2 linked regions of the Stegostoma tigrinum genome follow. The protein of the gene in region 1 purifies or fractionates together with the protein of each later gene. This does not show direct contact. Links are inferred from orthologs where the notes say so. Each region holds a gene or a part of one and is shown in the gene's direction. Other genes may lie near its edges.

Region 1 (10,283 bases):
TACACAGAGATGGTGCCGGGGGAGGGGGCTAAGAGAAACGATCAATGGAATCTGCCAAATCTCGCAAGGCAGATCAGAATCAAAAGTCATGAAGTCACAATTACACAGTGAGAGGCGTATCAGGAAAATATGCCAAGTCAGCACAAGAAACTATTTTTACCGCACAAAGTTCCGGTCTTACACTGAGCCAAGATTGTTTCATACCTCTCCCATGTTCATGGAAATGATTTATTTTTGTTTCTGATTTTACCGCCTCTTATTTTCATAATCCGTCAAGCACAGTCGTGGCACACGAACTAAACGCGGTTTGGTGCTCATTTAACCAAGTGTGGAGCTGGATGAACACAGCAGGCTCCACACTTTGTTATCTCGGATTCTCCAGCGTCTGCTATTCCCATTATCTTTGGTGCTCATTTAGATCGCCAAAGGAGATAATTCAGGATAAGGGACTCTTCGATTTACTGCTAAATCATTTAGGTCCATGTGTAAGAAGTGGAGAATAGATCACATTACGACTTCTATTGCCTTGTCCGAAACAATAACAGCAGGGCACAAAGAATGATTCAGACAGACCAAAAAAGGTCTGCACGCCACAATGCTACTCCTTCGGGCAACACTTCTAAGTACAACCATCATAATAGCGGCGGACAACGATCAAAATACCTGGGGTCGGAGGGTGAATTCGGTCCCAAAAATCACCTGGGAAACTTCAATCACGGGGACGACCAATCAAAGAAAAATAAAAAAAACATACAAATTGCTGGAGAAACACAGCAGAATTGGCAGCATCTGTAGAGAGAGAGCAGAGGTTATGTTTTCGAGTCCTTTAGCCCCTTTTCAGAATAAAGGTTGCCCTCGCACCTGAATAGTCGGAATCTGCAAGGAGTTGTTTCAATCTGAGGTTGATTCTCTCTTGTGCTTGCTATACGGGGACTCAATGCAGAAGTAAAGCATGAGGAGAAAATTTAGCCCTCGAGAAAATCTCAGGAGAAGCTCTCGGTAGAAAAATGATTTTTACCATTTCGAACGAAAATCGCATTGAAATAGTGCAAATGAATCCGTCTAGTTTTCATCGATCTAACTTTTCAGAAGTCAAAGAACTGCTTCCGAGAAAACAGAGAAGGATCAAAGATGCAAAGGGCAGGAGGCAGGCTATGAAGTGCCAAGTTAAAAGGTAGGTCTACAGGATCAGATTCAGCATGTCATGAAAGGTATATACCAAGCAGCCGTGAAACTCCACTGCATCCAGGATAAAATCCAAATCAATACTCAAGCAGGAGACTCTGATAGACCACTCAGTGTATGCTATCTGGGATAGTGGTAGATAAAATTATGATATAAGATGTCTAATTTACACACGAACCAAGCACAAAAGAAAACCACTTTGGCCTTTCAGCCTGCCCCACCACTCTTTCTGGCTCCCTCCCTTATTTAATAAAGGAGGGGTATATTAGCTATTTTCCAAGCTAAAGGGTCCGAATGAGTTTTGAGTAAGTAAAACTAACTATCAATATCTAACTATCAGGGGACGAACTGGGCTGGTTTTGGGATGCGGTGGGGGATGGGGAGATTTTGAAGCTGGTGAAGTCCACATTGATACCATTAGGCTGCAGGGGTCCCAAGCGGAATATGAGTTGCTGTTCCTGCAACCTTCGGGTGTCATCATTATGGCACTGCAGGAGGCCCAGGATGGACGTCGTCTAAAGATTGCGGTGGGGGAAGGGGAGAGTTTGAAGCTGGTGAAGTCCACATTGATACCATTTCGTCCCCTCCCCCCACTGCACCACACAACCAGCCCAGTTCTTCCCCTCCCCCACTGCATCCCAAAACCAGCCCAGCCTGTCTCTGCCTCCCTAACCTGTTCTTCCTCTCACCCATCCCTTCCTCCCACCCCAAGTCGCACCTCCATTTCCTACCTAACCTCATCCCACCTCCTTGACCTGTCCGTCTTCCCTGGACTGACCTATCCCCTCCCCACCTCCCCACCTATACTCTCCTCTCCACCTATCTTCTTTTCTCTCCATCTTCGGTCCGCCTCCCCCTCTCTCCCTATTTATTCCAGAACCCTCACCTCATCCCCCTCTCTGACGAAGGTTCTAGGCCCGAAACGTCAGCTTTTGTGCTCCTGAGATGCTGCTTGGCCTGCTGTGTTCATCCCGCTTCACACTTCATTATCTTGGATTTTCCAGCATCTGCCGTTCCCATTATCACTTCATCTCTATCCGGATTGCTTCTATATACTAATTTCCTGAGCTTAAGTCATCCCTCTCTTTTGTGTTAATATCATCTTTTTCAAGTTATTTCCTAACTTCCTGACCTTCCTAAATGTCATACAGCCTTCAATATTGAGGTCCCACTCCAGGTCATCCTGCAGCCACATCTCAATTATGACTGCTGGATTGTACACGTCTCAGTTTGTACTAGTTCATCTGTTTTATTGTGAATGATACATGCATTGAAATACAGTGTTTTAAGTCTTGTCCTGTTATTATCTTCAGTCTTAGCCGACAATCTGCTCTTGGATCTGCACTCTGTCCTTTCCTGTCATTGTTTGTTTATCATTTCCCACATCAATTCCTTCCTTTGTTGCCTTCCCTTTTTCCTCAATTCATAACTTCCCAAATACAACAGTTCCTGTACAGTTCAGTTGTAGATCCCTAATGGTACAGATCCCATTTTCTTCATTTGATCTACCCTTATACCAATTAATCTAAATTTTGAGTAAGATTTGTGTGTGTGAAGACCTATAATGATTAACATTTAAATATTTCTGCAGCCACAATGATCAGTATTAGAGACAGAGCACTTGGAAGCTAGTGGGGACTTGGTTCCATTGGGAGAATTATACGAGCACAGAATAAATTGTGCAGTGCATTAAACTTCAGTTAGAAGATTCTAGAAACTGGATGTTCTTTCCTTGGAAAAGCTTTTTAGTTTCAATTCAAGGTTTGGAGAAGTTTTGGCTGAAGTTGGACGTATAAGGCCGTTTCTCCTGATAAAGAAAAATAGCTTATTTCTTAATAGTTCTAAACTATCTGAATGTGAAGAGTTTATCTTTTAGGTTTCAGACCAGAAACATTAATTTAAAATCCTGAAGAGGTTATCAGAAAGTCTAAGCTAAGTTTTATGAAGAGTCAACTAAAAAGCTATCAGATTCTGAGGACAGGGAATTGAATCCACAATTTTCTTAAGCCCTACGGATGTGCCATAGAAGGGATTTCTCTTCAGTGAGAGACTGATTTATACTATCTTCATTTCTTTGCATAAATACTCCTATTTTATTGTTAAAACCAAACGTGCAGGGTTGCATGCTTGTGCTTCCATGACAGAACATCTTGGTTAAACCAAAATATGATCTTTCAAGCCAAATTTCAGTCTTGGTTCTGACTTGTGCAGTAGTAACATCAGCTGGGTTCACAGTAACATGAAGTGGAAGAGTTTATAGAAGTAGCGTGACCAAGTACAGTGCTGCTGTCCAAAAGGAATATAAATGGATAGAAGCAAAGTTAGATAAAGGAACAGATATTAAATAGCAAAGAGACATCAGGACATAAGGAGAAAGAGAAGAAATTTTACTGCAAGAAGAGTTAAAGTTGAAAGGAAGAGTAACACACTGCAGACTAACAGAATGACTGCAATGGGCACAAGAATAGAGAATACAGAATTGGGGCTAAAACAGATACAAGCACTCATGGAAGAACAGAGAGACAGCGTGAACTACACAGCAAATAGGACATAAGAGGGAAACAGGACTACTTAATAGATGAAACTCCTGAAACAGAGCGTCATGGAGTAGGGCACAAAATAGACGGTTCAAGAGCTGGCAAAATTGTAGGTAGCAGAGCAGTACATGAGCACTGATAGCTGGTCAGAAGCCCATGGCTCTAAGGCACCAAAGGTATTTCTGAAAAGCAAATTATTAGTCCGCCGGCAAATAACAAGGTTAGCATTGGAGTGGGATTGAGCTCTGGCAGTTGAGGCACAATAAACTGAGCAGAAATTACTGAACACCAAAACAATACATCATTGGATAGTTTGAGAATGGGCCAAAGTAACAATAAATGGAACAACTGAAAAATAAGAATGTCACTTCAAAAATTATTATTCATCATTTTAAATAATTTCATGATTTTCATTATCATTTTTTTTGCCTAAGATAAGCAAGTTTAGATAGTTGAGCTGCTTCAATATACCAGAATTGAAATGCTGAGCCATTCTTAACTCTCTTCATATGGGGTCAGCAGCTCAGTTCGAGCAAATTTGAAACAACATAAACACAGTACAGTTGAACCTGAGACAGTGGCCACAGAAAGCTTGCAACCAGTTACTAAGAAAGTATAAACACATAGACTGTGCTTACTTTGCAAAACACATTTGATGCCATACTTGTTGACCTACATTTTTATAAAGCAAATTATTCCCTCAGGGTGTGTTGTTTATTCTTGAGGATTGCAGCTAACAGGGGAATTATGCATTTCCTGTTAAATGTATTCTTATCATCTAAAAAAAACTTCAGAAATCTCTGAAAAATCAATTGTGGAATAACAAAAGCAGATGAAAGACAGCAATACTCTGCCCGTAACCAAGTAGTCTCCATTAGGGTTATTTCTCCTTGAAAGATATTTGAATGGTAGAGCAGGCTTGAGAGGTTGAATGGCCTTCTCCTAATTAGTGTGTTTGCTAAATCAAATTTTTCAGCCCTGAAAAAAATGTATCCCATTTGAACTTCATTGTTTTCTCCACAAATGCCAAAACAATATAACACCTCAGGCCCAGAACCATCTCTATCTCTGGCCTGTGGTGTATATATACGCACAACATTTTCTTACTGTTTCCTATAAATAAGTGCATTGTGGAAAGGTGTTTCACTGTGAAATGGCATCCTTAAATCTGCACTCATTTAAACTTTACTGGATATAGATTTTAGATTTTAATTAGGCAACGATGTTACCCAGTGGGATATGAGCATAATCCACTGAAATTCATCCTTCCAGTGTTTTAATTAAGCACTTAACACACTTATTATGAATGTTTAGTAGAGAGGGCGCCTTTGAATGAAATCCTGCAAGCTTGCGTCCCACATGTTTCAGCAACAGCGAATGTTTTGATTCCGGTGAATCGGTGTCAAAACCACTTTTTGTCAGGTCACAGTGGTCAGCCCGCATCCGCATATCCAGCACCTATCACTGTTTCACACAATTGGGCTGATACTTTCAACACCAATTGAGGATGCGACAAAAACACCTGGGGTTTATACTGAGAGATAGTAAGAACTGCCGATGAAATCCGATGTGCAAGTTGTATTAGCGTGTTTGGAAAAGGATTCGTTCGGGAGCATTTTAGGCCAGTCCCTTGTATATTTGACAGTTACCCAGCTTCAGCTACAATAGCTGTGAAAATATACACTTAAGGATGACATTTTAAAAGAGAGCAGAATGAAGAAGGGTCTCGACCCGAAACGTCAGCCTTCCTGCTCCTCTGAAGCTGCTTGGAGTGCTGTGTTCATCCAGCTCTACACCTTGTTATCGCAAATAATAAAACACGTGTTTCACTAAAATCAAATAAATTCTAATTTTGGATTTGAGGCTGACAGAAGACACAATAGCTTAACTCACAAACTGCAATATGAAGAAAGCAAAGGCTCAGTGGACACAAAATGGCACTTGCAGCTAGGGAATGATTTAAACAGTTTCCAGAGGCCAAACTCACACTAGAAACAGAAACAGAAACATAATCACTCATCAGGGAGGGAAAGATTACGGCTGCATTTAGCTCAATGATATTTACTCAGAACTACACAAACTCCTATCTTCTCCCCAAGAACACAAGGGCCATTCGCCAAAACCTCACGTCAAATCCTCCTTCCCGACGCACAATCGGCGTCGGTTAAAGGTCAACGTCGTAAAAACAACTTTCAGGGCGAGACGGGAAGCCGCATTTATGACGTAGATGGGGCGGCGGGGCCGCGCGGCAGCCTCACTTTACGGCAGTGCCTAGGTTGAGAGTGGAAACGGCCTCGAGTGGCTGGCTGTATGAGGGAGCAGGCAGTGGCCGGCTTCCTCACTTCGGCAACGAGTTGATTTCTCTCCCCCTCCCCTGCTCCCACCCTGCCTGACTGTGTGGATGTCGGGCCCTGCTTGACAGGTCCCGGTCCTGTGCAGCCTGGCCTGGTGTGGTCCGGCCGGCTGTAGGATGTGTGAGTGCTGAGGGCGGGCGGTGAGTCCCCTCCTGGTTACCCCCCCCCCCCTCCCGCCCCGTTCTCCCGGTTAGATCACTCTCTCTCTCCCCCCGCTGCTTTTGGCCCTCATGCCGACCCTGCGTTTCTCCGCTCTTTAGGATGTCTGATGTACCGCCCGGGCCTAGCGTGCTGTCCCCAGCCCCCAGTGACATCTCGCCCCTCTCCGCTACTCTCAACCACTCGGGAGCGTACGGCAAGGTCCCGGGGCAGCAGCCAGGAGGGGGCGGCGAGCAGGAGGAGGAGGAAGCGACTGCTGTGGACGGGGCTGGCCAGGAACGCGGCGGGGAAGGCGGACCACATTCGGCGAACAGTGTCGGAAACTGCCCGGAGCCTAACCGAGCCAAGAAGGGCGTCCTGCACCTTCACCACCATCATCACCACCACCACCACCACCACCACCAACAGCAGCAGCGGCTGCTCAACGGCTGTGTTATAAACCCTGAGCTCCACTACAAGGCGGAGTGCAAAGGCCGCCTATCCTGCGCTGAGGCCGCCACTGCCGTCGAGTTTCAGTCTGGACTGTCACTCTCCGAAGGAGGCAGGAGGAAAGCCGACGGCAAATATTGTGAGAGTCCCAATGTGAATCATGCGAGCCAAAGGACTGCCGAGGCGGCCGGCCCTGACACACTCAACCCCAGAGATGGACTCGACCGGATTGGTATCGGCCCAGATGACGATGAGCAATACCGCCTGGCCGCCTCGATAGCTGCTTGTAGTTTGCACCCGCAACAAGAGCCCGACTCGAACGACAGGATACGATATGTTGGCTATGAGTCAGAGTTGCAAATGCCAGATATAATGAGATTGATCACGAAAGATTTGTCTGAACCTTATTCCATATATACATATAGATATTTTATTCACAACTGGCCGCAGCTTTGTTTTCTGGTAAGTGTGGTATGTTGGTAGGGGACTATGTAGTATACGTATGTATATCGAGAATAATGCGCTTAATAGAAAAGCCTGTGAAATGTCCCGAATGTAAGACCTTATTTTTTGTAAGCACTGAAAATGAGTTGCCAAGGAAAGGTCACTTTGGCATTTTGCATGCTGATTCCCACACTTTCAGTTGCTATCAATAGTCGTCATGTTAATGAGTAGTTTTATTTTTGTAAGCATCTAGGCTTTGAGAACTTGCGTTGCAAAAGAATGAATTTGCCATGCTATTTATAGTCCTCAATGTGACAAATAACCTTGACTTTGCAGTTCTGATTCATGTGAAAGACTAGATGGAGAGTTCAAAGGCTTGTTCTAAAATCCATTGAAATTGTGGTATATTATTAAACTTAAATTTGCTATACTGACAGACTTTATTTAAGTAGCACTGTTGTTAATGCCACATCGTCTTAGGATGACTTGAATTGCTGTAGCTACTATAGATGAAACTCATAACGTAGAAATTGTTTCACCTCTCGGCCTTTCTGCTTTTACCTGAAACACCACTGTGAACAGTGGAGATGATTTGAATGTTTGTTTTTATTCGGTGCAAAATATTTATAATCTTATTAGACTTCATTGGTGACTACAGCATGGAGACTTTCTTTGAGTTTTTTTAAATTGCAAGCCGAAAATGTGGCACCTCGCTACTTAACCATACTTGTTTCTTTTTAGCATGGCATTATGATTTTCTTGAGAGTTTGATAACTCTTAAAAGCAAATAGAAACTTGCAGTTAATAACATAAATAATGACATAAGTTTTCATATTTAAGACCATTACTTAAGTAAAGATTATTGACAATGTTGATAAATCTTTGTAGAAAAGTGATCTTCTATGCCACAAAACAGAGCATTCCCTGTTTTTCTTTAGCACAACCCAAAACACTGTTTACAGATATCTTTTTGTAAGTATACACTTTTGTAGGTGTATATATTCAGTTCTTCCAGAACCAGTCCAGTGATTTTTTTTTTTAGCTCCTGAAAGTTTACTTCTAATTCTTTCTCAGCCTGGGAACTGTTAAACTCAAGACTTTCTTTCGCAGTGAGCTACATTTCTCATTTTTCCTGTTGTGCCAAGTGAGCCCATTCTTTCAATCTGTTTCGAGTTCCACATGAATTCAGCATTTTTGATCTAAGTGAGAGCCCTCACGTGTTGCTGTGTGTTGAACCTCAGATCTCACTGCCAGTAGCTGCTGTTTCTTTGCAGGATTCTGTCACACTCAAGTTATGCCGTGAGTTGCTTGAGAATATCAGGGAGATATTAGAAACTTACCCAAACAATTCCCCTTGTATTTTCTAAGAGATCATCCTCTGAAAATTTTCAAACCCCAGAATTGAACCCAGAAGGCTTACGGTGCCTGATTGAAAGAGATGCTGATCATCTTGCTCAGAGTTTCGCTGGAACACTAGTAGGCCAAAGGCAGCACTGTAAGCATGAGGGCAAAGTGGAGAATTAAAATGATATGCTATTAAAAACTCAATTATGCTTGCTTGAAGTAAAGAATTTCGCAAAGTAGTTGCTCAAAAAATGTTTGGTCTCCCCAGCACAGATGAAATTGTAATGTGAACAACAAACACCTGTTTACATATTTTCAATATACTGAATTGAAAGTTGTCACATGAATCATCCTGAACCATCAGATTTATGTCAGTAACATTTTTCCAGAGATTCAAGGCAGTTTTCAACCTTCAAAGGTAATCTCAAAACGCTATCTTTGGCACTCAGTAAATCCTAAAAATTTGTGGGCAACAAATTCAGAGGTTTATGTAAGCTTTATTGATCTGTCACAGACCTTCGCCATGAATCATGAAGCTATTTGGAAAGTCCTCCACTGACTTTGTTGTTCAACAAGTTCATTGCCTTTTGTGATTCGTCTATGACAATATGACAGTATCCATTCTTCCCAATGGATTAGTAAGTGTCCTTTTATATCCAGACAAGAGTCAATCAAGACAATGTGCCAAGTCTCTTCGCTACCTAATTCAGCTTAGTCAGGGATTCATTCACGATTAGCTTCTACAACAGGCAATGGTTAGGTTTAGACTGTCCAGGAAGATTTTTCAATCTCTCCAGGCTAAGAGCCTTTGGTAACCGCCATATTATAACCCCAACATATCCATGGTTTAGACTATACTGATGGCTACACAATTGTGGCCCACGTAGCAATGCCAGTTAGCTTTGCATTTTCTAACGTCTTCCCCATGACAGCTGTTGTTAAAGATATTATTTATGGGGCACATAGGTTCAAGGTAATCAGGTGGAATCAACATGGTTTTGTCAAAGAGAAATCATGATTATCCAACCTACAGGAGTTCCTTTAAAGAAGTGTGGTGTCGCTAAAGGTGACATGGATATATTACAAGATAATAAAATGTGAGGCTGGATGAACACAGCAGGCCAAGCAGCATCTCAGGAGCACAAAAGCTGACGTTTCGGGCCTAGACCCTTCATCAGAGAGGGGGATGGGGGGAGGGAACTGGAATAAATAGGGAGAGAGGGGGAGGCGGACCGAAGATGGAGAGTAAAGAAGATAGGTGGAGAGAGTGTAGGTGGGGAGGTAGGGAGGGGATAGGTCAGTCCAGGGAAGACGGACAGGTCAAGGAGGTGGGATGAGGTTAGTAGGTAGCTGGGGGTGCGGCTTGGGGTGGGAGGAAGGGATGGGTGAGAGGAAGAACCGGTTAGGGAGGCAGAGACAGGTTGGACTGGTTTTGGGATGCAGTGGGTGGGGGGGAAGAGCTGGGCTGGTTGTGTGGTGCAGTGGGGGGAGGGGATGAACTGGGCTGGTTGAGGGATGCAGTGGGGGAAGGGGAGATTTTGAAACTGGTGAAGTCCACATTGATACCATATGGCTGCAGGGTTCCCAGGCGGAATATGAGTTGCTGTTCCTGCAACCTTCGGGTGGCATCATTGTGGCAGTGCAGGAGGCCCATGATGGACATGTCATCAAGAGAATGGGAGGGGGAGTGGAAATGGTTTGCGACTGGGAGGTGCAGTTGTTTGTTGCGAACTGAGCGGAGGTGTTCTGCAAAGCGGTCCCCAAGCCTCCGCTTGGTTTCCCCAATGTAGAGAAAGCCGCACCGGGTACAGTGGATGCAGTATACCACATT
Region 2 (10,685 bases), on another chromosome or scaffold:
ATGCAACAGTAGATTGGGGGTGATGAAATCAAGTATGTTTTTCCCTCTTGTTGGTTCTATCATTGCCTGCCACGGACACAGTCCAGCAGTAATATCCCTTAGGACCGAACCAATTCAACCAGTAATTATGCTGCCAAGCCACTCCTGTGGTGGGCATTGAAATCCCCCACCCAGAGTACATTCTGTACCCTCGCCACTCTCAATGGTTCTTCCAAGTGGTGTTTAACATACAGAGGCACTGACTCATCAGCTGAGGGAGGACGATACGTGGTAATCAGCTGCAGGTTTTCTTACCCATATTTGACCTGAAAACATGGGACTTCCTGGAGTCTGAAGTCAATATTAAGGACTCTCAGGATAACTCTCTCCTTACTGTATACCACTGTACTGCCTAACTCAGAGGCAAGAGCTGATACTATGAAAGAATCATTAATTTAGAAAAAGGATATTGAGGTAGATCCAGGTCCTAGGTTATTGCTGTCAAGGAAGGAATGTCTTTTTAATTTCCTCATGGTCCTCTGAACCTTTGTATATTACAATCCATTCAGTCCATGACCTGTTTCAATAATGAGTTGTCCCCTTCAACCTATTTTCCTGCCTTTTCTATTTGGCCAAGTTTGATGTGTTTGTTCTCAGAGTATTCTCCTTTGTCCCCTTCCGCAGCCCACTACTACTCTTAAGGTTTCCCCTCTCTCTCCCCCTACCTCCCAACATCACCAGAACCCATCTGCTCGCTGTTCAGCGCCAGTTTTCAACAAAACTGTTTACCTCTATCTGGTGGAAAGCAGAGTCAACACTGCAGCTCCCCCACCCCCACATCCAGTCCTGAAGAAGTGTACTACCTGAAACGTTGACTGCTCCTTTCCTCCAGATGCTGCCTGGCCTGCTGCATTCTTCTAGCCTCCTGTTGGTCTACCTGGATTCCAGCATCTGCAGTTTTTCTTGTCTCTAACTATGTTTACCTCTACCATTTGGTATTCTTACACTGTTGGGGTCAGCAAGTCCTCCTTCGCTGAGTTACTTAGCAGTCTCAATCTTTTTCTTGCAGGGATAAATCTGTACACTAGACCGGTGTCTCTGAGAGCTTCTCCCTCAGGGAGCTATACGTACAATGATTGGTGTCTCTCAGTCATTCACTCTGCAATCAGTCATGTTTCTGGAGGGTTTTGTTTAACTGCTGAATGTTTGGATGTAAGACTCTGCACCATTTTATGTGTCACCTGAAAACAGATGGTTTGAAATATTGATCAATTGTCAGAACACATTAGTGACTTCAGCTTTCCTGAAAGCAAACCCTGTCATGTGACAACCCCCCTCCATCTCAATCAAATTCCTTCCTAACTCAAAACAAACGCCAGTTAATTTTTTAAAAATGAAGAAGTGCATATGTAGCAAATCAGAAACAAGACAAAATTGCTGAAAAAACTCAGCTGGTCTGGCAACATCTGTGGAGAGAAAGCAGAGTTAATGTTGTTAGACCTGCTGAGTTTTTCCAGCAATTTCTGATTAATTGAAGCTGCATACCTCAATCACCTGTTCTTGACCTGTTAGCGTGTTGATAATACGGATATCTCTTGTTTTTTCAGTTAAATATCCAACCTCATACTTTGGATCCTTCCACCATGGCGTCCCAAAGGCATTAGACCAATCACTCATTGGCATGAGGGGTGGAATGTGAGCAAAGCGTCCACGAGGAGTATGGTACTTCTGGCAATTGGCGAGCTGGTCAATCTTGATGCGAATCTACGTTGGGAATGAAGAGATTCCTGTTCATTGCTCCATTATTATGGTACATAGTGCTGCTTGCTATTTTGTGGCCTGTTCCCCCTCCTCTCCAGCTGACAATTTTACACAAGACTAAGTTATATCTGTGCCCAGAGTCCTTCAATGCTCCTAGTCCAGCTCTGTGGCTTAGTGGTGGGTGGTGGTAGTGGTTGGGGGGGGGGGGTTCATTTCTGTCAGGAGGATCGGGTCACAGAGACTTATAGGATTACAGAACAGTGACAGCAGAAGGCCATTCAGCTTATTGTACTGTGCTGGTCTTCTACACAAGCAATCCTGCTAGACCCCCTCCCCTATCTTTACCCTAAGATGTCCAAATCTTTCCTTTTCAGAAAATGTTTCAAATTTCTTTCGAAAACCTCACCTGAAATTGTCTCTACCACTGTCAGGCAGCACATTCAAATCCTATCCACTCACTGTGTGGAAAAGGTATTCCTCTTGTCACAATTGCTTCTTTCACCAACCACTTGAAACTTGTACCCTCTTGTTATTGATACCTCCTCCAATGAGAAAAGTTTCTCTCTATCCTCTTGATTAAATCTTCTATTAGCCCTTTCTTCTCTATATTTTTCCAATCTCCCTTCGTCACAGAGATTCCTCATTCCTAGAACCATTTTTGCCCTTTCTCACTAAAGCCTTTAAATCCTTCTTAAGTGCAGCTCCCTGAATTGAAATCTGGTTGAGACTGATGTTGTGTTCCATACAGGTTATTATCACAATTTCCTTGCATTGAAGGAATATGAGAAAATTCCTCATTGCCTCCAAAACACCAAAACTCGGCCCTCAGCTGACTGAGGAGAAGAGGATCCAAAGACTAAAATTTCAAACCAGACTAAGGTCAAATTTTATTGGGCAGCAATGATCTCCAGGCTCCCATATGCTTTGGCGACTTGCACAGCATACAGCCAGCACCTCACAAGACTGGAGAAGCACCACCAGCATGGCCTTCATAAGAGTCTCCAAAACCTGTGGTGACACTGGGAATCCAGCAGCACACTGAGGCATTAATTAGTCCAAACCAGCTCCCGTAGGTAGGACATGCCATTTATATCTTTGGCAGCTGACTCTGGAAATCACTACACTATTCGGAGCAGCAGAAATGCTTTAGGGTGGTCCTCAAAGCCTCCCCAAAGTGGTTATACATTCCCTCCACCATAGCCTTTCTTCACCTGGCGTGCGACCAACCGAAATGGGGCAGATTCAGTTGGGAAGGCGCTAATACGCTGAGAGGGTTCATTGGGAATGTCAGATGCCATGCACAAACTTCACAACAACCCAAAATGTTCAACCCAATAGGTGCACATCTAAATACTTCTTCAACGTAATGATGGTTTCTGTCTCTACCACCTTTAGAAGCACTGAGTTCTAGATTCCCACCACTCTGTGGGTGAAAATCTTTCTCCTTACATGTCATCAAAGCCCTTACCTTAAATCCTCCCTGGGCATTGATCCCTCCATCAAGGGGAAAAGTTTCTTCCTGTCTACCTTATCTACGCCCCTCATAATTTTATACACCTCAATCATGTCCCCTCTCAATCTCCTCTGCTCAAAACAGAATAGTCCCAGTGTGTCCAATCTCTCTTCATAACTGAGACTCTCCAGCGCAGGCAACAACCTGGTAAATCTCCTCTTCACCTTCTCCAGTGCTATTATATTTCTTCTGTAAAGCAAATTCCAGAGCTTCGCACAGTACTCTAGCTTTACCAATGTTTTATACAGTTCTTTTTAAAGCACAGGAACCTGGTCAACATTTTGTGTTAGATTGATTCCATCAGAGAGATAAACCAGGGAATTTGCATGCTTTGATTAAATCATTAAGTTCTGTAACAACGCAGTAGTGGATTTTGAGAATCAATGTACTTTCCCAAGTATGCTAAACGCCAGGTTAAATATGGATAGGGCGATGCTGGGTACTGTAGTCCCTGGTCAGATGGTGAATTATTAAAATTGTTGCTAAAATGCTTTGGTTGATGCTCATTGTCTTCAGTTTCATTTCCCCTGGCAGCTGAGATTCCATACTTACATCTTTACGCTTCTCATCAAACCAGTGGCTGATATCATGTCCAGCTGCTTCTAAAATGGGTTTCAGTAGAATGTCACCTGGATAAGAGGGAGAATACAGAATCAGCACAGCCTGGATATAGCACAAAAGATACTGTCTGCCAGCTATATCTTCTGAAAGGTATCTACAGATGTAAATGAAGTGCTTTCCATGCCATCAATTTTGAACCCCGAATGGCCAATTAAACCAGGGCCAACAGGGAGGAAAGATGCAAAATTTCGAGGTCATCACTAAAAGAAGATTTGTATTGACATAGCGCCGTTCATGACCATTGGAGTCACAGGGTCGTACAGCCCCCCGGCAGATCAAAGTAATTTTCAATCAATAAAATATTTTACAGTACATTGTTGTTGTTATGCCAGAATCACGTCATCTCATTTGTGCACAAGAACGTTCCACAGACAGGAATGTGATAATGGCCAGATAATTATTTTTTAAACTATGTTGGCTGGAGAATGAATGTTTGCCACAGGTCTCTAGGGAGAGTCCCGTCCCTCCCCTCCTCACAGCTCTGCTTTGAAATAGCAGCCACAGGATCTTTTTCAAGGGCAGATGGGGCCAACTCCCATTTCCCCACCACCCACTAACCTAAACTGCCTGCTGGTCCAGATTTTAAAATTCTCACTCATTGTTTTCAAATCCCTTTATGGTTTCGTGCCTTCTCTGTAACTTTGCCACTCTCTTCACCCCTTCCCATCTCTGTAAAGTCCTCCAGCCCCTACCTCCCTCCCAAACTCTGTGACCCCCTCGAGTCCAAAATTTCTACACTCCAACAACCAATACAACCCTTTCGTGCATCCCCCGAATCCCAGTACTCCACAACTGGAGGCTGTGCCCTCAGCTACTGGACCCCAAACTGTGGCATTCCCTCCTTAATCCTCTCGGGGCTTTGGTCACCGGCTGTAATCTTTCCTTGTGGTTTAGGCATAGAACCACATAGGTTCAGTAATTGCTCGCCTGAAAGTTGTTCCTTTGACCACAAGAAGGGCTCAAGTTGTCGTTGTGGAGGTTGATGCCGGGCTGAGTGATGAAGGTGGTGCTTCACAGTGCCAGGGATGCAGGTTTGATTCCACCCTCGGGTGACTGTCTATGTGGAGGTTGCACATTCTCTCTGTGTCTTTGTGGGTCCCCTCTGGGTGCTCCGGATTCCTCCTACTGTCCAAAGATGCAATGGTTAGGGTGGATTGGCTGTGCTAAATTTCCCAGAGTGTCCAGAGATGGACAGATTTGGGTGAATTAGCCACAGGTATTGCAGGATTACAGTGACAGGGTGGGATGCTTTTTGGAGGGTCGGTATGGACTTGTTGGGCCGAATAGCCTGCTTCCACACTGTAGAGATTCTGAGCTCTTCACCTTTAAACTGTTCGGCTAAAGGGGTCAGGTCATAGACTTTTCCCAAATAGGAGACCCACAAATCATTCATGGTGTTATGGACAGCCACTTCCCGACTGCTGTAGTAGCGGGAGTGCAGCATGGTCGTGGGGTGCTTCGCTCCTCCTGCTACTGCTGCCTCCTCCGTCGCCATGGTGATAGTAACAGGAAGTGGCTCGGGGTACAACTTCCGGTCCTCGGAACTACATCTCCCAGGGGGAAGCGGAAAAGCTGGGTTTTTTTTCACCAAAAAAACCGCTGGATTTTTAATGCGACGCCGCCGCTGCAGCTTTTCCTTCACAGCTGCTTTTCGTGAGTAATTTTGCAGCGCGGGGACTGCGCGGTGCATGAGGCTCGGTTTGAGGCAGGAGAAAGCGGCAATCTGTGCACTTCTATCGTTTTCTTTTAACATGCCTTAAAATGGCGGCCGGAGCTGAGCGTGGCCTCGCCTTGAGGGGGTGGAGGGACAGGGACAGGGACAGGGACAGGACGCGGGAATGGTGAGGGAGGTGAGGTGTTGGTTGGGGGATGGTGCCCAGAGCCGGGGGGGGGGGGGGGGGGGGGGTGATTGTGGTGCCCAGAGCCTGGGGGGGTGATTGGGGTGCCCAGAGACCGGGGGATGGGTTGCCGGGGGCAGGGGTACCGGGGTGGGGGGCATGGTTGCAGGGGGCTGGGATATGAGGGGGGGAGGGGAAGGACATGGTTGAGGGGGCAGAGATACCGGGGGGACCTGGTTGGGGGGGGGGGCAGAGATATGGGAGGGGCATGGTTGGCAGGGGCAGAGATACAGGGTGGGATGGTGAGGGGGGGAATAGAGAGGGGGTGGTGGGGGGAATGGTGAGGGAGGTGGAGGGGTGGGCAGAGAGATGGTTGGGGTGGGGAATTGTTGGGCGGGTGCAGAAAGATGGTCCCGGTGGGTGGGGACAGAGAGACAATGGAGGGGGAATGGTGAGGAGGTGTACAGGGAGACGGTGGTGAGGGGGTAATAGAGAAATGGTGAGAGGGGAACGTGGACACAGTTGGGGGGGGTGAATGGTGAGGGCGTGACAGAGATGGTGGTGGGGAATGGCAAGGAGGTGGAGCCGTGAGGGGGCACAGAGACACGGTGTGGGGGAGTGGTTGGGGGCTAGAGAGATAGTAGGGGTAGGGCGGGACAGAGAGAGACAATTGGGGGGAATAGTGAGGGGGGGGTGTACAGAGAGATGGTGATGGGCAGTGGTGAGGGGGGGGTACAGAGAAATGATGAGGGGGGGGACAGGGACATACTGAGGGGGGTGAATGGCGAGGCGGGGGGCGGTTCCAGAGAGATGGCAGAAGGGGGAATGGTGAGGGGGGTGACAGAGAGACTGGAGGGAGTTTGCTGAGGTTGGGGGTACAGAGACATAGAAGGGGGAATGGCGAGGAGGGGTTTGGCAGAGAAGCGGGAATGGCGAGTGGCGGCCAGACGGCGGGGGGGAATGGGGGGGGACAGAGATGGGGTGGGAGGGTGGGTGGCGACAGAGACAGTGGGGACATGGGGTGGGGAGTATGGTGGGGGTTGTACAGAGAGACGGTGGGGGAGGAATGGAGATGGTGAGGGGGCAGAGAGACTCTTGCGGGGGGGTAAGGGAAATGCGGAGGGAGTTGGGTGTCGTGGAGACGGTGGTGGGGTGGTCAGGGAGACAGGAAGGAGATGGGGTGGCGGGGGTGGGGGGAGTCGTCTTGGGGAGAGGAGAGAGACAGCAAAGGTGATAAATGAAATAACTCCATAAAGGCTGATATCCCGTCACCAAGTCACCCTTTTTATATGTATGTGTACAGCACTGTACGCTGACCCAGCGTGCTCAAAGCCAGCTCCAAGAATGACCAGGTCCCGACCCAAAACATCAACTTTCCTGCTTTTCTGCTGCCTGGCATCTCTCACACTCCTGTATATGTCTGTCATCCAGGCTCTTGATTGGATCAGGTTAACAGTGCCAAGGTTTTACATTAGATTTGTAGGTTGGGTTGTGGATGCTGTGGTTGGTTGGCTTGCTGAGCTGGTTTGTTGTTTTTCCACAGACATTTCATTACCCTACTGGGTAATATTATAAATGCAGCTTCCAATGAAGCACAGAGATAATGGGAACTGCAGATGCTGGAGATTCCAAGATAATAAAATGTGAGGCTGGATGAACACAGCAGGCCAAGCAGCATCTCTGATGAAGGGTCTAGGCCCGAAACGTCAGCTTTTGTGCTCCTGAGATGCTGCTTGGCCTGCTGTGTTCATCCAGCCTCACATTTTATTATCCAATGAAGCACAGTTGTGTTTTCCCACCTGTTGTTTAAACTGTCGGGTCCACTGAGGTGGATTACCTCACTTCTGAGTTTTCCTTCGCTATGGAGTATAGAAGAGATCTAGTTCTATGTGTCTGTTGATGACTTTCTTGGTGGAGTTCCAGGCTTCTAGGAATTCCCGTGCTTGTCTCTGCTCTGCTTGTCCCACACTCTCCGACACACTTGTCACGGTACCTTACGCATCGGAACTAACCACAAGACTGAATGACCACTGGGCATCAGAGTAGCACACAAACCCACATCAACTCTACGACAATTGCTCAATCGAGCGAAAGACCCATTACCCACAATGGACAGGACCAGTGTCATATACAAGATTCCCTGCAGAGACTGTGACAAACACTACGTCGGACAAACAGGAAGGAAATTAATTTGGGTGCATGAACACCAATTGGCTACAAAAGGACATGACCAATACTCACTTATCTCTCTCCGCATGAATAAGGAGAACCACCAATTTGACTGGGACAGCATCAAGATCCTGAGACAAGCAAAGCAGGGACAAACACGGAAATTCCTAGAAGCCTGGTACTCCATGAAGAAAGCCATCAAAAAACACATAGAGCTTGACCCCATAGACACACCACTGTGAAGAAAATCCAGAAGTGAGGCAATCCAGCTCAACAGACTCCAGAGTTTAGATAATAGGCGGGAAATCACAATGGCGCTTCGTTAGAGGCTGCACCGACGATATTACCTAGCAGGGTAATGAAACGTCTGCGGAACAACAACGAGCCAGCTCGGCGAGCCAACCAACTACAACATTAACAGCCCCAGTCAGGGAACTATTTTATCAGGTCCACCTGGCTGACCTCATTCAAATCAGTAAGCTGAGGGGAGAGAGAGATGATGGAAAGATGGCAGGAACTGAGGTGTGATGGAATTACTGGGGCATGGGGGTGAGTGGTAGTGGAGTGTGAATGGGGGAGATGGGCTGGAGGGCTTTCTGGTTTGTGTTGGGGAGATCGGCAGGGGGATTGATCACATTGGCATGTGATGGGGGAGTTGGGCAGAAGGACGTAATGGGGTGTGATCATGAAGATGGGACGGGGTAAGGTGGAAATTGGACCAGAGTATGATGAGGCAGACCTGGCAATGATTGGACATGCAAAGGAGTGAGAGAAGGTGAAGGAAATAGGACAGGATGAAACCAAGGGATTGGGTGAGTTGGAGAGGGCAGGAAGAGGGAGGGAACTGGGAGAGATGGTGGTGGGAACGGGTTGGCAGGACCTTGGAAGATGGTGGAGAAGGCAGGGAGGGAGGGGTGGGAAGTAAAAAGGAAATGGAGTGAAAGGAGGGATGGTGAGAATAGGCGTGGGGAAGAAGAGGAAGAGGAAGAGGGCACAAGGGAGAAGGTAGGGGGCTGGATGAGCCGACACTGGGAGTAGGAGGAGGGGGGGAAGGAATTGGGGTGTGGGAGGAACCATGGGAGTGGGTTGGCAGAATGGTGTGAGTGGAGGGGAGGGAGTGCATGGGAGATGAAGGAGAACAGGGTGAGGAAGGAAGAGACCTGGGATTGGAGGGGATCTGTGGGATAGTGGGAGGAGGGATTTAGGATTTGGGGACAAGGGTAGGATGCGGAGAGGAAAGGGAACTGGGAGATGGGGCAAGGACGTAGGGTTGGGGGAGCCTGGGGAGAGAAAGGAAGAGAGATGGGTGGTAGGGTGGGGAGAGTTAGAACTGGGGAATGAAGGGGAGGGATGAACAGGGAAATTGGGGTTGGAATGTACAGTGCTTGGAGGAGATAACTAGTGGAATAGAGAGGGGATGGGAATTGGGGCATAAGTGGGAGGGGTATCAAACCAGGCAATGTGGGGAGGTTGAAGAGGGTGAACTGGCGAGAAAGTAGGAAGGAATGGGATAGGTGGGTGGAGAACATGGATTTGGATTATAGTGGGAAGGGGGGGCATCCAGAGGATAGCTGAGAAAGCTGAAGGAACTGAGGTTGGAGGGATTGAGTGGGGAGATATGCAGTGGAATCTGGTGTTTGGGGAGGTGTTCGCCAAGCATAGAACCTGGAAGGAGGGTTGGGAGAAACCTGGGGGTGGATGTGTTGGGAGAATGAACTGGGGATAGAGGGGAAGCCAGGGGAGTGGGGGAAACTGGGGCATAGGAAGCAGCAGAACCTGCATATCAGGAAGCAGCTTGGAGTGGGGTGAAAGAGAATGAATGCTGGTGCGGTAGAATCAGGAGTTGGGGGAACTGCTGAGTGGGGAAAATGGGAGGGGGTTATCGTGAAGGACTGGCTGTTAGAGTGAAGATGTGCAGGGCTGAGGCAATTGAGGTGAAAAATGATGGGGGTGTTGATCGCGATCAGTGGAGGTTGCGGGCATAAGGTGAGTAGGGAATCCATGTGCCCCCATTTGTGACCAGCGTGTGCATGGATGTGGTAGTATGTGCGTATTATTATGATTGTGTACATGTGCTTATGACTGTACGCATGTTATTGTGCTTCTGAGTACGTGTACAAGTCTTGAACAGTGAATTGGTTCATTCCAATTGTACTGGAGAATGCTGCAAGAAATGTCCGTTCAACCTGTCATTGCCTTTATCCGTGTGTCAGTAACATTGAAACAGATTTTGGGTTGGTGTGGGATGATACTATGTGCACATCGGCATTCACATTAGCAGCTTTGGCTGTGAAGGGCCAAAGGGAGTGGAAGGCAAGGCTTCCTGAGATGCTGACTGTTGGGTTATTGTATTGTGAATGTATTCAGGTAACCCAGTGAGTTACTGTGAGCTTGTGTGATGAGCAGAGAGTCAGCACGCTGCAGGTCCCGATGACCTTATCTGCTGTTTCTTCAGGCAGGATATGGCAGACAGCAACGTGGCCTCAAACTCCAGACGGATGTTAGAGAGCTTACTGAACAAAAGCATGAGGATCCAAATGACTGATGGCAGGACATTGATTGGTCTCTTCCTGTGCACCGACCGGGACTGCAACGTCATTTTGGGCTCAGCCCAGGAGTACCTGAAACCGACAGGTAAACAGTAGCTTGTGACTGGAGGATGAGAGACTTGGGGAAGTGTTCCAGAGTGAGTGACAAGACCAATGAGGAGGGTGGAAAGAGGATAAATAACAGGCACCTGTGGGTGGAAGAGGAGTGCAGGTAGAGGGTAAAGAATAACAATCTGCAGACGCAGGCAGTATGTG

Evidence for each region.
Region 2: the proteins of naa30 (region 1) and naa38 purify together in Homo sapiens (co-immunoprecipitation; 3 studies listed by BioGRID and IntAct, with this or other methods). This does not show direct contact. The link is inferred for Stegostoma tigrinum from reciprocal best matches to the Homo sapiens genes NAA30 and NAA38.

Annotation. Positions count from the first base shown.
Region 1 is NC_081363.1:49,431,392-49,441,674, forward strand, and holds the start of naa30 (N-alpha-acetyltransferase 30), read left to right. Parts: upstream 1-5,967; 5' UTR 5,968-6,337; coding exon 6,338-7,126; intron 7,127-10,283. UniProt on the Homo sapiens protein: Catalytic subunit of the N-terminal acetyltransferase C (NatC) complex. Catalyzes acetylation of the N-terminal methionine residues of peptides beginning with Met-Leu-Ala and Met-Leu-Gly.
Region 2 is NC_081398.1:14,294,692-14,305,376, reverse strand, and holds the start of naa38 (N-alpha-acetyltransferase 38, NatC auxiliary subunit), read left to right. Parts: upstream 1-5,701; 5' UTR 5,702-5,715; intron 5,716-10,336; 5' UTR 10,337-10,343; coding exon 10,344-10,515; intron 10,516-10,685. Other genes in the region: cytochrome b5 domain-containing protein 1, read right to left, coding at 1,525-1,743, 3,806-3,882, 5,198-5,627.